Rattus norvegicus: one gene and its partners. The protein of the gene in region 2 interacts with the protein of the main gene of each other region in a biochemical or structural test. Links are inferred from orthologs where the notes say so. Each region holds a gene or a part of one and is shown on either strand. Other genes may lie near its edges.

Region 1 (3,652 bases), on a different chromosome or scaffold from region 2:
CCTCTCCACCCTTCTGCTCACCCATTGTCCCTTCCCATCCATCCATCTGACCACACTCAACCTCATCCACTCACCCATCCTTTGGTACCTTCATCCAGCTCTACTCATGCGTCCTTCGCATCCACTCATTTATTCCCCACATTCACCCGTCCGTCTGACCCTTCACTCTACCCATCTAGGGCTCATCATTGCTCCTGTTAATTTCTCATCCAGCTTGCCACGTCCATTCAGAACCCACCATTCTGCATGTGTTGTGGGGGTTGCTTATAGTGCTAAGGAATGCTAGAGACGTGGAGACAACACACCCGTTGTGATGTGGTGCTTTAGGAGTCCTTGTGGTCAGGAGGGCCAGCAGCAAGAACATTTTCATTTGTTCCCCACTGAACTACTTTGTATTTGCAGAACAAAGCGATTGCCACCCCTGTCCAGGGTGTGTGGGACATGAGAAACAAGCAGTTCCACACGGGCATCGAGATCAAGGTGTGGGCCATCGCCTGCTTTGCACCCCAGCGCCAGTGTACAGAAGTCCATCTCAAGTAAGCCTGCCTGAGGCCTCCATGTGCCTGGCCTTGTTTCTGTTAGTCAGATGGGTCACTGGGGTTCCGACACCAGTGGCTGGCAGCCTTTCTCTAACAGAGAGCACTCGCTCACGGTGACTCCCATTTATGAAATGTGGTGAGGCCAAGGTTAGCTGTGAGAGAAAACAGTACCTGAGTTAAAATAAATCAGTCGCCATGGAAGCAGAGGGTGGACATAGTCGGTGGACTCAGACTGTAGAAACAACACATTTTACTGTCTCTGTCTGTAGCCCTGGCTGTCCAAGAACTCAACTATGTAGCCCTGGCTGGCCTTGAACTCACAGATCTACCTGCCTCTGCCTCCGCTATTGATGGGATTACAGGTGCCCCCTTTTCTCATTAAGCCATTGTGCTGGTGCTACTGTGACGTTTCAGTGAATTAAATGAGAAGTGAAACTGAAAACTGGGTGGTAAGCGACAGTAGAAGAGGTCAGTATTGTGGTGGGCTTCAGTGGCTGCTCTCCAGGGGAGGGACGGGTTACAGTTCACCCATCAGGAGTGGGTTAACTGCTCCCAGCCACCTTCCCTGTAGCTTAGGACTGATACAGTGAGCTGCAGAGGCCCGCTCCTCTGCCCAGAACACTGAGTGTTGGGCCAGTGGCAAGTAACTAAGCTTGACCAGTGCCAACAAGATTGTACCTTAGAGCTCACAGGGTTTTTACTCGTGTTCCAAGGTTAGAGGGGAAATAAGACATTTGGTTCTTACCTGTCTGGGGGCAGTGAAGGGGGCACCCCAAAACCTGCAGAGAATAGCTGTAACACTACCACCCCAACAAGAGGCTATTTGGTGAAGCTGTCTTACGCAGGGCTGAGTTCACTGGATAGAGGCTGTCATTCTACACTGGTGTAGCTTTTGCTTGTGCTTCTGAGAGAACGAGCCAGGAGCCCAGAGAAAAGTCAGAGCAGAGGCTAGATGCTGACCAACTTCTGCCCATCTTCTATTTTTGGTCTCTATCCCCAGGCACACCTACCTGTTGATGGTGTGACTGCAGGTACACATATGTGCATTCTGTAAGTGCAGCGCATGGGAGGTGAACTCTGTTCCACTAGGTTGGAACTAAATGTCCTCACCTTGGCTGCTGGTTGGATGTTTTTACTCTGAACATAGCCAGTCTTCTCAGCCCCCTGAGTCTTGTTGCAGTCCAAATGCTGGCTTTGCTTGACTGCCACCTGTTCTGTTTCCTTCTGGGTCTGTGTCTCCACGGTCAAGCTATACCCACCAGAACAGCAGGGAAAACCCATACGGCAGCTGAAGGTGTCCCTTATTTTACCAGAGCCCTAACAGAGTTGCTTAGTAGGCCTGTGTGGCCCAAAAGAGCCATACTGTGTCACTACAGAAAGGCAGCAAGCAGGCACTTATATCTGCCATTTTATCCCAGCAATTATCCCTGGGCCTTCCATGGGTTTGTGGTGCACTCACCCCCTTCATGGGTTAATGCCTGAGATTAAATTCTAGCATGGCATGGTGCCTACCCCCCAACCCTAGCCCCCAGAGGGGTGAGGCAGCAGAATCCTGAGTTTGAGGCCAGTCTAAGCTACCAAAAGCAAATAAAAAACATAATTCTCTTTGTTTGTTTTTGCTTTGTTTAGATAGAATCTTGTATATCTCAGGCTAGCCTCAAACTCATCGTGTAGTTTTAAATGACCTTGCACTATAGATCCTCCTGCCTCTCCTCCCAAATGCTAAGATTACCATACCTGCAATATCCAGTGTTTGGGATCAAACTTTGGGCGTGCTAGGCAAGCACTTAAAATCCTCTCCCCACCCCTTTGACTTTATTAAACTGTATTCAGAACCCCTGGTTGAAAGGATATGACTTCCTTTCCATATATTGTACATCTTAGCCAAGTGGCTTTTCCCCTCAGGTCCTTCACAGAGCAACTGAGGAAGATCTCAAGAGATGCTGGGATGCCTATCCAGGGTCAGCCCTGCTTCTGTAAATACGCACAGGGGGCAGACAGTGTGGAACCCATGTTCCGACACCTGAAGAACACATACGCTGGTCTCCAGCTGGTGGTGGTTATCCTGCCTGGCAAGACTCCTGTGTACGGTAGGTGTCAGCCATCTGTAGGCCTTTGGGAGTCGAGGGGGTTCCAGTGGCTGTGATTTGCCTGTTCCCCTTTGTGTGGACTGAACTGAGTGGTGGGTTCATTCCTGAGCCTGAGAAAGGGGAGAGGGAGGTCAGGTTACTCTAGTCCATTTTCCAGGCCATTGTCACTGTTGTCTTGAATGAGGCCCCAGTCCCAGGTATCTAGCAAGTCCCGGTGGCCCATAGCTGCAGATAGTTTCTGCAGTTGCCCAATGTTTGGAATTCTAGGAATGGATAAATGTTCTCCTTTGTTTTGACACCAACACCCCAAGAGATGGCGTTTGTAGTTATTGGTCGTTTAGGGAGGTCGGGTGCAGATTATTAGTGGTCATGGTCAATAGAAACAAAAGGAAATAAATTGGATTCAGGAGTCTCTCTGTCCCTACTATCCTTTCTCTCCTATCTAGTGATAGGGGGGGAGACCAGTGAATAAAGGGTGGGGAAAAAAGAAACCACGAAGTAGCAACAGCCAGCTACAGCCCATAATTTGACTTGAGGGTTGGTTTGATAGTCATGCTGTGGCAGGAGTGTTGGCAGATGAGAGAGTCCCCTGCTATGCCAGTGTTCCCTGAGGAGGCCCCACTGACTCTTGATTCCCTAGGCCTCAGTCAGCACGTCTGGTCTCTGCCACCAGCCCAGACAAGGCTGGGTTTCTGTTGGTTAGACGGTAGTTGCTCATTTCATCAGTGGAGAAGCCCAATGATGCTGAGAGAAGAGGGAATGAATCAGGTACAGCCTTCCTTTCAGGAGGCCTTCAGCGGGGCAGGGCGGTCATACCGACAGATCTGCAGGGTGAGAGCTGTCCGCCCCCAGAGGCTTTCAGCAAAAGGGTGTTGGTGTGAGATCTGGTGGTGCAGGAGTCAGAAAGCAACTGGGATTCTTAATGGTTGTTACTAGTAGGGGTCTGTCCTGTCTAACCACAGGCAGACTGCAGACCCACGGCCGCCGTGCTTTCCCCCTCCAGGTTCAAAGCAGGCTTGCTCG
Region 2 (3,652 bases):
ATGCATGTAACAGAAAAGGTGCTTTTTGACTATATTCAAAGACACTGGAAAGAACTTATTTAAACATCCAATGAAACTTTCCATGTCTTCATAAATCTTAGGATTTCTAATCATGAGCAATAGTGGTTTCTTATGCATACCTACTTGGTTTTTTAAAATGATACAAAGAACAGAGGGTGAATGAGGTGGAAAAGACAATTGTCTATACTATTATTCTCTACAAGGCTGTTCAAAGGGTACTGAAGCCACAGTAGAACAAACATCTATCTCTACACACACAGGCCTTGGGGCTCCCATAATGTGTCCTGAGCCCAACATGGTAGAGGAACAATATTCATGTACATTTCAGGGTCCTTCCCTTCTAAGATTTGATGGTTTGGACACGTGTCTCACATTATATTATCTAGTCTCTCAAGCTGAATGGCATAAAAGCTGCTACATTCAGTTTTAAATAATCAAACAAAAGAATTTAGATTTAGTGGAGGATATGTAAATTATTCTTAGTTACTTTTGAGAAATACATCAGTAGTGACAATTTAGAAGCACTAGCCCATTTTTTAAATGTAGTTCATGAGTTTATCATCAGCACTACAAAATGGCTGCTAACAATCACAGATGACTTACCAGATTTGCTTAATGATTGTGGACCAACAGAGTTGGAGCCCCACGTGGATGCACTGGATGCTGCAGTAATGGGTTCTCCCCAGCTGGGACCACTGTCTATGGGCTTGCCCCAGGCTGAAGTACCATTATCCACAGTCGTGGCTGGAGTAGAAGGCTCTGCCCAAGGCTCACCCCAGCCTTTAGAAAGCATGGGAAAAAAAGTCATCAGCATAGACATTAGGAAACACCTTAAATAAAGGACACAAGGAAGAGGACTTGGGAAGCGAGATGAAGAATTTCACATCACACAACTGAAAAATGATGCTGTGACAAGCAAGAGGCATATTTTGTGAAGAACACAAATTATTCTGCATTAATATAACTGTATAACGTTTTAACCTTTTCTTTCAAAACTGCCATCTGGTGTAAGAGGAGACTCTTTTGAATAATTTAATATAGCAAATCATCTTCCTAAAAACGTCAGGTTCTTCTGAACCAAAGCTTGAGACCTGAGGCAGGTGCAGTGTAAAGTTACACTAATTACATTTTACTGAAAGGACACTCTTCCCATAGCACTGTAGTGGACAACAACTGACTATGACTACCATCAAGTAAACAGCCAGCCTACCTTATACACACGGGAAAAGAGGTCTACACTTTCCCTAAGAGTTAAACATAAATCAATAGAATAGGCTTGTATTTCAAAACAAAACAAAAACCCCACAAAATTAGGCACTAAAAGAAGAATTCCTGAAAACATTACCAGCTCTCTAACCAATGCAGCGTTACTCAATAAAACTCCCATTAACGGGGTTGGGGATTTAGCTCAGTGGTAGAGCGCTTGCCTAGGAAGCGCAAGGCCCTGGGTTCGGTCCCCAGCTCCGAAAAAAAGAACCAAAAAAAAAAAAACAAAAACAAAAAACCTCCCCATTAACAAAGGCATTGTGGGCCTGTCACATTTACAAAATGTTGCCCTATCAATTTACAGAGAAAAGACTTTGCTCAGTACAGGAGAGGAAAGGTCGAGCATACTAGAAAGCAGTGCAATGCTTCAGATGCACACACTGTATCCAGTTATCTGAGTAGATGCTGACTTCATGCCTCATTTAGGAAACCCACTAAGGTCAAACATAATATCAAATATCCAGAGTACTGTACTCAGGCACTTGGCTTTATTGTACTTCAATAGTGAAACCACATTATTAAGGCTTGGTTAAGAATACCTAAATAAGTACGTAACTCTGCCACTCAGTCCCTTCTACTACATTCCTAACAGAATAGGGCAACACTCCCAAGACAGAGCTGTTGCCTGGTAGACTTCACCTCTAGGTCACAGCTGAAAGGCCTTGATGTGCACGCTCAAGAACTGTGATACACAAATCTTATGACTGCATGTCAACACAAAGCTTGCTTCCACAATACCACTGCACTCCACATAGGAACGCTTACCAGAGCCACTGCTGGTCTCCTTGCTTGAGATGGCACTTGCAGCCGGCAACAACCGGTGCATCTGTGCTTGCTGGTCTGAGCGGCTGCTGCCTTCTGGGATGTTTTTATTCCACATGTTCACATTTTTGTAGTTGTATTTGCTTGGATCTCCCCAAGCTGAAGTTCCATCATCGATCTCCATTTTTCGTCGTATAGACTCTGGGGATGGTTCCTCCCAGCCTGTGGGTTCTTCCTCCTTTGCTGGAGCAGGAATAGGTCCCCCAAGCCAGCCTGTACCAGGAGGCTTGCTGGTGGCTGGTGGGATTCCCCACGATCCAACAATGTCTTGTTGCTTGTTCCAATCTGGAGAACTAACTGGTTTTGATGAATCTCCCCAACCTAGGGACTGATTACACTTTGGAGGGTCTCCCCATCCCTGGGAAGAGTTAGGTTTAGAAGATTCATCCCATCCTGATGAGTTATTTGGATTTATATTATTTCCCCAAGTAAAAGAACTAGTTTTACCAAGTTCGTTCCAACCAGAAATGGACCTGTCGCTGTCACTGCCTCCTGAGCTGGATTTCTTATTAGCCTCACCCCAATGGTTACTCCTGGAAGATTCTCCCCAGTTATCACTGGCAGAAACGGACCAACCTTGGCTTGACTTTTGTCCATCGCCCCAGCCTTGTTTGTTCTTTTGCGAATCATTCCATGCAGACTTGTCTTCTTTGCAATGCCCCCACTGATTGCTCTTGATCATTCCTGTAGCAGCAGAATCATCTTCCCACCCCCCCTGGCAGTTTGAGCCTTTGGAATCTCCCCACCTCAGAGTAGGTTTGGGATCACCCCACCCTGATACAGATGAGGTATCATTACTATTAGGGCTAGTCTTATCTGTACATGCCCCTGAGTTAAAAGTCTGTGTTGCAGAGCTTCCCCAGGCCTCTGTCCCATTGTCAGTCTTTCTTTCCCCTCTTGGTGATGTCTCTGTATCCCAGGCAGTATTCTGCTTAATAGGAGTCTGTCCCCACCCAGAATTGGATAGGACACGTGGATCTAAGTCAGTTCTGTTTACAATGCTTTGGAGTAATGTGTGCTGATCAATTTTTCTTCTATCTCTACTCTGGCTTTCCCCGGTTACTTTTTCTTCAAGGCGTCCAGTGCTCTCTGCACTACCATCACTCTCCACTGTGCCTCCTGCTTTGGCCCACACACTGTTTTGCTCATTCGTCTGAGATGTGCCAGAACCCTGATCATCTTCCTCAGTAGATTTCCATCCATTTGTAAGTTTCTTACTACCATTGCCATTTGCACTGTCATTGGAATGCTGGTTGCTAGGCAGTTTGTTCCACTCAACACTGGACAGACTAGTGCCAGTGTTCTGTGCAGGACTTCCCCATCCTCTTCGACTTCCTCCAGAATTTGCACCATTTCCACTTCCCCATGGTGAACTCTGGGAATTCACTGTCCCAGGCTCCCATACACCTCCCCCTTTATTTGTACTAACTTGAAAGTTAGTGCCCATAGGCCCATTTATGCCAGGCTGCATTAGAGTTGCATTCACAGTGTCACCATTGGCTTGGCCATTAGGGCCTGCACATTTGTCGCCAGAGTAATTAGA
Region 3 (3,652 bases), on a different chromosome or scaffold from region 2:
AGCAGTGAAGACTTGCTCATCATGAGTCATGAGTGGGTTTGTTAATGGTTAGGGGTTCTGGCCTTTTGAGCTTTCTTTTTACTGCAGTAGGATTTACAAAATACTGTACAACCAAGTAAAGCAATTTATTTAGAAGTCTTTTTTGTCTGCCTGTACAGCTCTGTTGGTAAAATCCATCATTTGATCCTTGAACCTTCAGTTTTTTTTTATATGTCCCCTCTTCCCCACTTCAAGTTAGAACCATGTTAGTCTCTCTGGCTTTCTGGGGGAATTGAAAGATTTAAATATGTATACTGATAGCCTTTTCCTCCCCAATAGCCGACTTGTCTCAGGTGTGGCCAGAGGCAAATCAGCACTTTAGTAAAGAAATAGATGACGAAGCAAACAGCTATTTCCAGCGAATATATAATCACCCCCCACATCCAACCATGTCTGTTGATGAGGTGAGTGTCTAGGCTTCCTGATTCTCATGTTCATAAACTCGAAATGAGGGCACTTTGAAGGTTTTTAGAAATTCACTTAAAATGTAGTATTTCTGTGTATCTTTTGAAATTTTAATGTTTGTGTCAGCTCTGTTTTTTGGCACTGGTAAATGCTTTTCTCAGGAAGTCTGCTATTCAGGTATATGAGGATGATTCTTGGTAAAGTTTCTTGTATGCATGCATTGTGTTTATCTTGCTTTTCCAGGTACTAGAAATGCTACAGAGATTTAAAGACTCTACAATAAAAAGGGAGCGAGAAGTATTTAACTGTATGCTAAGGAACTTATTTGAAGAATACCGGTTTTTTCCCCAGTACCCTGATAAAGAATTACATATAACAGCCTGCTTGTTTGGTGGCATAATTGAAAAAGGACTGGTCACTTACATGGCATTGGGTCTGGCCCTGCGATATGTTCTTGAAGCCTTACGGAAGCCTTTTGGGTCCAAAATGTATTATTTTGGTATTGCTGCACTAGATAGATTTAAAAATAGGTGAGTACTGAGACTGACACTTCTTCCTTCTTCCCCAGGCCTTCTCAGCCTTCTTCGTTCTGGGTGTATCTTTTTTTTTTTTTTTTTTTTTAAAGATTTATTCATTTATTATATATAAGTACACTGTAGCTGTCTTCAGATACACCAGAAGAGGGCACCGGATCTCTTTACAGATGGTTGTGAGCCACCATGTGTTTGCTGGGAATTGAACTCAGGACCTCTGGAAGAGCAGTCAGTGCTCTAACCACTGAGCCATCTCTCCAGCCCTGGGTGTATCTTTTTATTATGTGGAGCAGCAACTAGTGTATATATATCACACACAATGCGTACACTTCCATATTAGGTATATACTAACCTGTACAGCTAAGTCCATTGTGTGCCCAATGTACAGAGTGAATTTTTTTTTAAAGCAGAGATAATGACTCTGTTTATTTTGTATTACACAATTTTCAGTTACTTTTAAATTTTGATTGGATCTCTTCCAGTCTGGCCTGGAAATCTTAATTCTCTGTTCTTCAGTGTCCCGAGTGCTGAGACTGTAGGCCTGTGTGAGCATACCTGGATGATGGTGTGTCTCTGGGTGGAGTGAGGGTCATCCCTGTTGGTGGTCATCCCAGTGTTTCCCCTGAGATGTAGCCAGGCTGACCTTGAGCTTATGCCGCTGTTGTTATTGTTAGGTCCTGGGGTCGTGTGTGCACCATTCCTGGCTGGCAGTCGTCTTCCGTTTGACGTTGTCTTCACAATAACAGTGGTGGAATGATTCTCAATAGTAGTGGCTGGAAAAAACAAAACAAAACCCTTTTTCCTGTACTTACATGAAATGATGAATGAACAATTTATTTTTTGGCAGATTGAAGGACTATCCTCAGTATTGTCAACACCTGGCTTCTATCAGTCACTTTATGCAGTTCCCACACCATTTGCAGGAGGTAAGTGTCCTGATCTGTATGCCTGTCAGGTGGGCAGAGGCTGGATTGACTCTTGGTTTGTTTGGGGATTCAGTGAGAGACGCTAGTAAGGTTAAGGTGGGTTTTGTTTTGCTTTACTCTGTTGTAGGATTACTGCGTAGTAAGTGTAAGGACACACACTGTTCATGGCCTGTATGGAGGGTAGAGGATCCTTGTGGATTGCAGGCCATGTTCTTGGAATTCCGCTGCTGTTCTTGGGCGTCCTAGACAAGTGCTCTCCTTAGGCTTGCCCTTTGTGGGTTTGTTTGTTTGTTTGACACATTGTCTCACTATGCCCCTCTAGCTGCCAAGAATCCAATAGGTATCCTTGGCTGTCTCAAAATTCAGAAATTCCCCTGCCTCTGCGTCTAAAGTGCTGGAATTAAAGGCGTGAGTCACAATGGCTAGGTAAAGATTCTTGAATGATCTCAGTCTATGAGGTCGTTCCTTGCTCAGTTTTGGACTTAATAATAAGCCAAATTAAAATGTCATTCATGGTGTAATGGTTTTGAGCTGTAGTTTTTATTGTTGAATTAAAAGGCTTTTACCGGTTCTTGTGACCTGGTGATACTTTTGAACAGTAGGTATATTTCACTCAGTGAATCTTTACATATATGCAAACTTTCCTGATTCTAGAAAATAGTGGAGTTCAGAGGTTGGTGGCACCCACCTTTAATCCCAGCAACTGCATCTCAGATGAAGGCTAGCCTAGTCTATAAAGTGAAATCTGGTCTGTGTGCCAATGCTAGACCGTCTGATCCTATCTCACAAAAAATAAACAACCCCCACGACAAAATTACACAATCCAAAGTTGGTCTACAAATTGTTACTTAAAAAAAAATCTTTTAAGTTACCTGCTTAGATTCTGTGGAGGAACTCAGCAGGAGTCAGCTTCTACAGAAGTAGACCTAGGAAATAATGCATATTATTCTTGGTGTTCCATTAAAATTTGAGGACCCTTTTTAGTGGTTCATTTGGAATGATAGCCATTAATTATGCACACTTTTGACTTGAATTTTGGATATTCAGTTTGAAATGAAACTTGTTTAATTTCTTAGGATTCTAATTGTTAAAATTTACATACAGAAGATATTTCATAAGGAGTAAGAATGATCACATTTAAAGTCTTAGCCTGCCAACAATGATGACAGTGTGGGAAATTCTCATGTAGCCCTACAGGCATTATTGATTGGTGAGAGCAAGGATTAGCCTTTCCCAAGGGAGGAGCTCCCCAGTCAGTTAGTTACTCAGTGTCAAATAATCAATCAACATAACACAGTACTGAAGAGACTGAGCAGATCGTGTGTGTTTGTGTGTGTGGGGGTGGCAGGGATAATATCATTAGAGGCCATGAATTTAAGATTGCATGGGTGGTACATGGGAAGATGATAATTTAATAAATTGCAAACATTTTTTAAAGGTCCTGCCTTCCTGTTGATGCTTCTAGGGAACAAATTAGACATTTATATTCCCCATCCATCCATCCATCCATCCATCCATCCATCCATCCATCCTATAAGACAAGCACCTTTTTAAAAAAACACCAAGGTGTCACTGTCTTTACTTGAACTCAGAGCTCCTATTACTGTTCGCTCTGTCTGTTGTGGTTAAAGCTGTGCACCCCTGTACCTGAGTCCTCAAACGCCTTGAACAAATCACTTAAGCTGCACATGGTTGCTTCACACCTTAATCCCATCACTGGGAGGACAGGGGTAAGCAAATCTCTTGAAA

Evidence for each region.
Region 1: the proteins of Tnrc6a (region 2) and Ago2 form a complex in vitro, tested with the Homo sapiens proteins (2 studies listed by BioGRID). The link is inferred for Rattus norvegicus from reciprocal best matches to the Homo sapiens genes TNRC6A and AGO2.
Region 3: the proteins of Tnrc6a (region 2) and Cnot1 form a complex in vitro, tested with the Homo sapiens proteins (2 studies listed by BioGRID). The link is inferred for Rattus norvegicus from reciprocal best matches to the Homo sapiens genes TNRC6A and CNOT1.

The regions. Positions count from the first base shown.
Region 1 is NC_086025.1:106,931,565-106,935,216, reverse strand, and holds part of Ago2 (protein argonaute-2), read left to right. Parts: intron 1-402; coding exon 403-536; intron 537-2,444; coding exon 2,445-2,629; intron 2,630-3,652.
Region 2 is NC_086019.1:187,122,450-187,126,101, reverse strand, and holds part of Tnrc6a (trinucleotide repeat-containing gene 6A protein), read right to left. Parts: coding exon 2,053-3,652; intron 802-2,052; coding exon 625-801; intron 1-624.
Region 3 is NC_086037.1:9,313,197-9,316,848, forward strand, and holds part of Cnot1 (CCR4-NOT transcription complex subunit 1), read left to right. Parts: intron 1-318; coding exon 319-443; intron 444-687; coding exon 688-974; intron 975-1,824; coding exon 1,825-1,903; intron 1,904-3,652.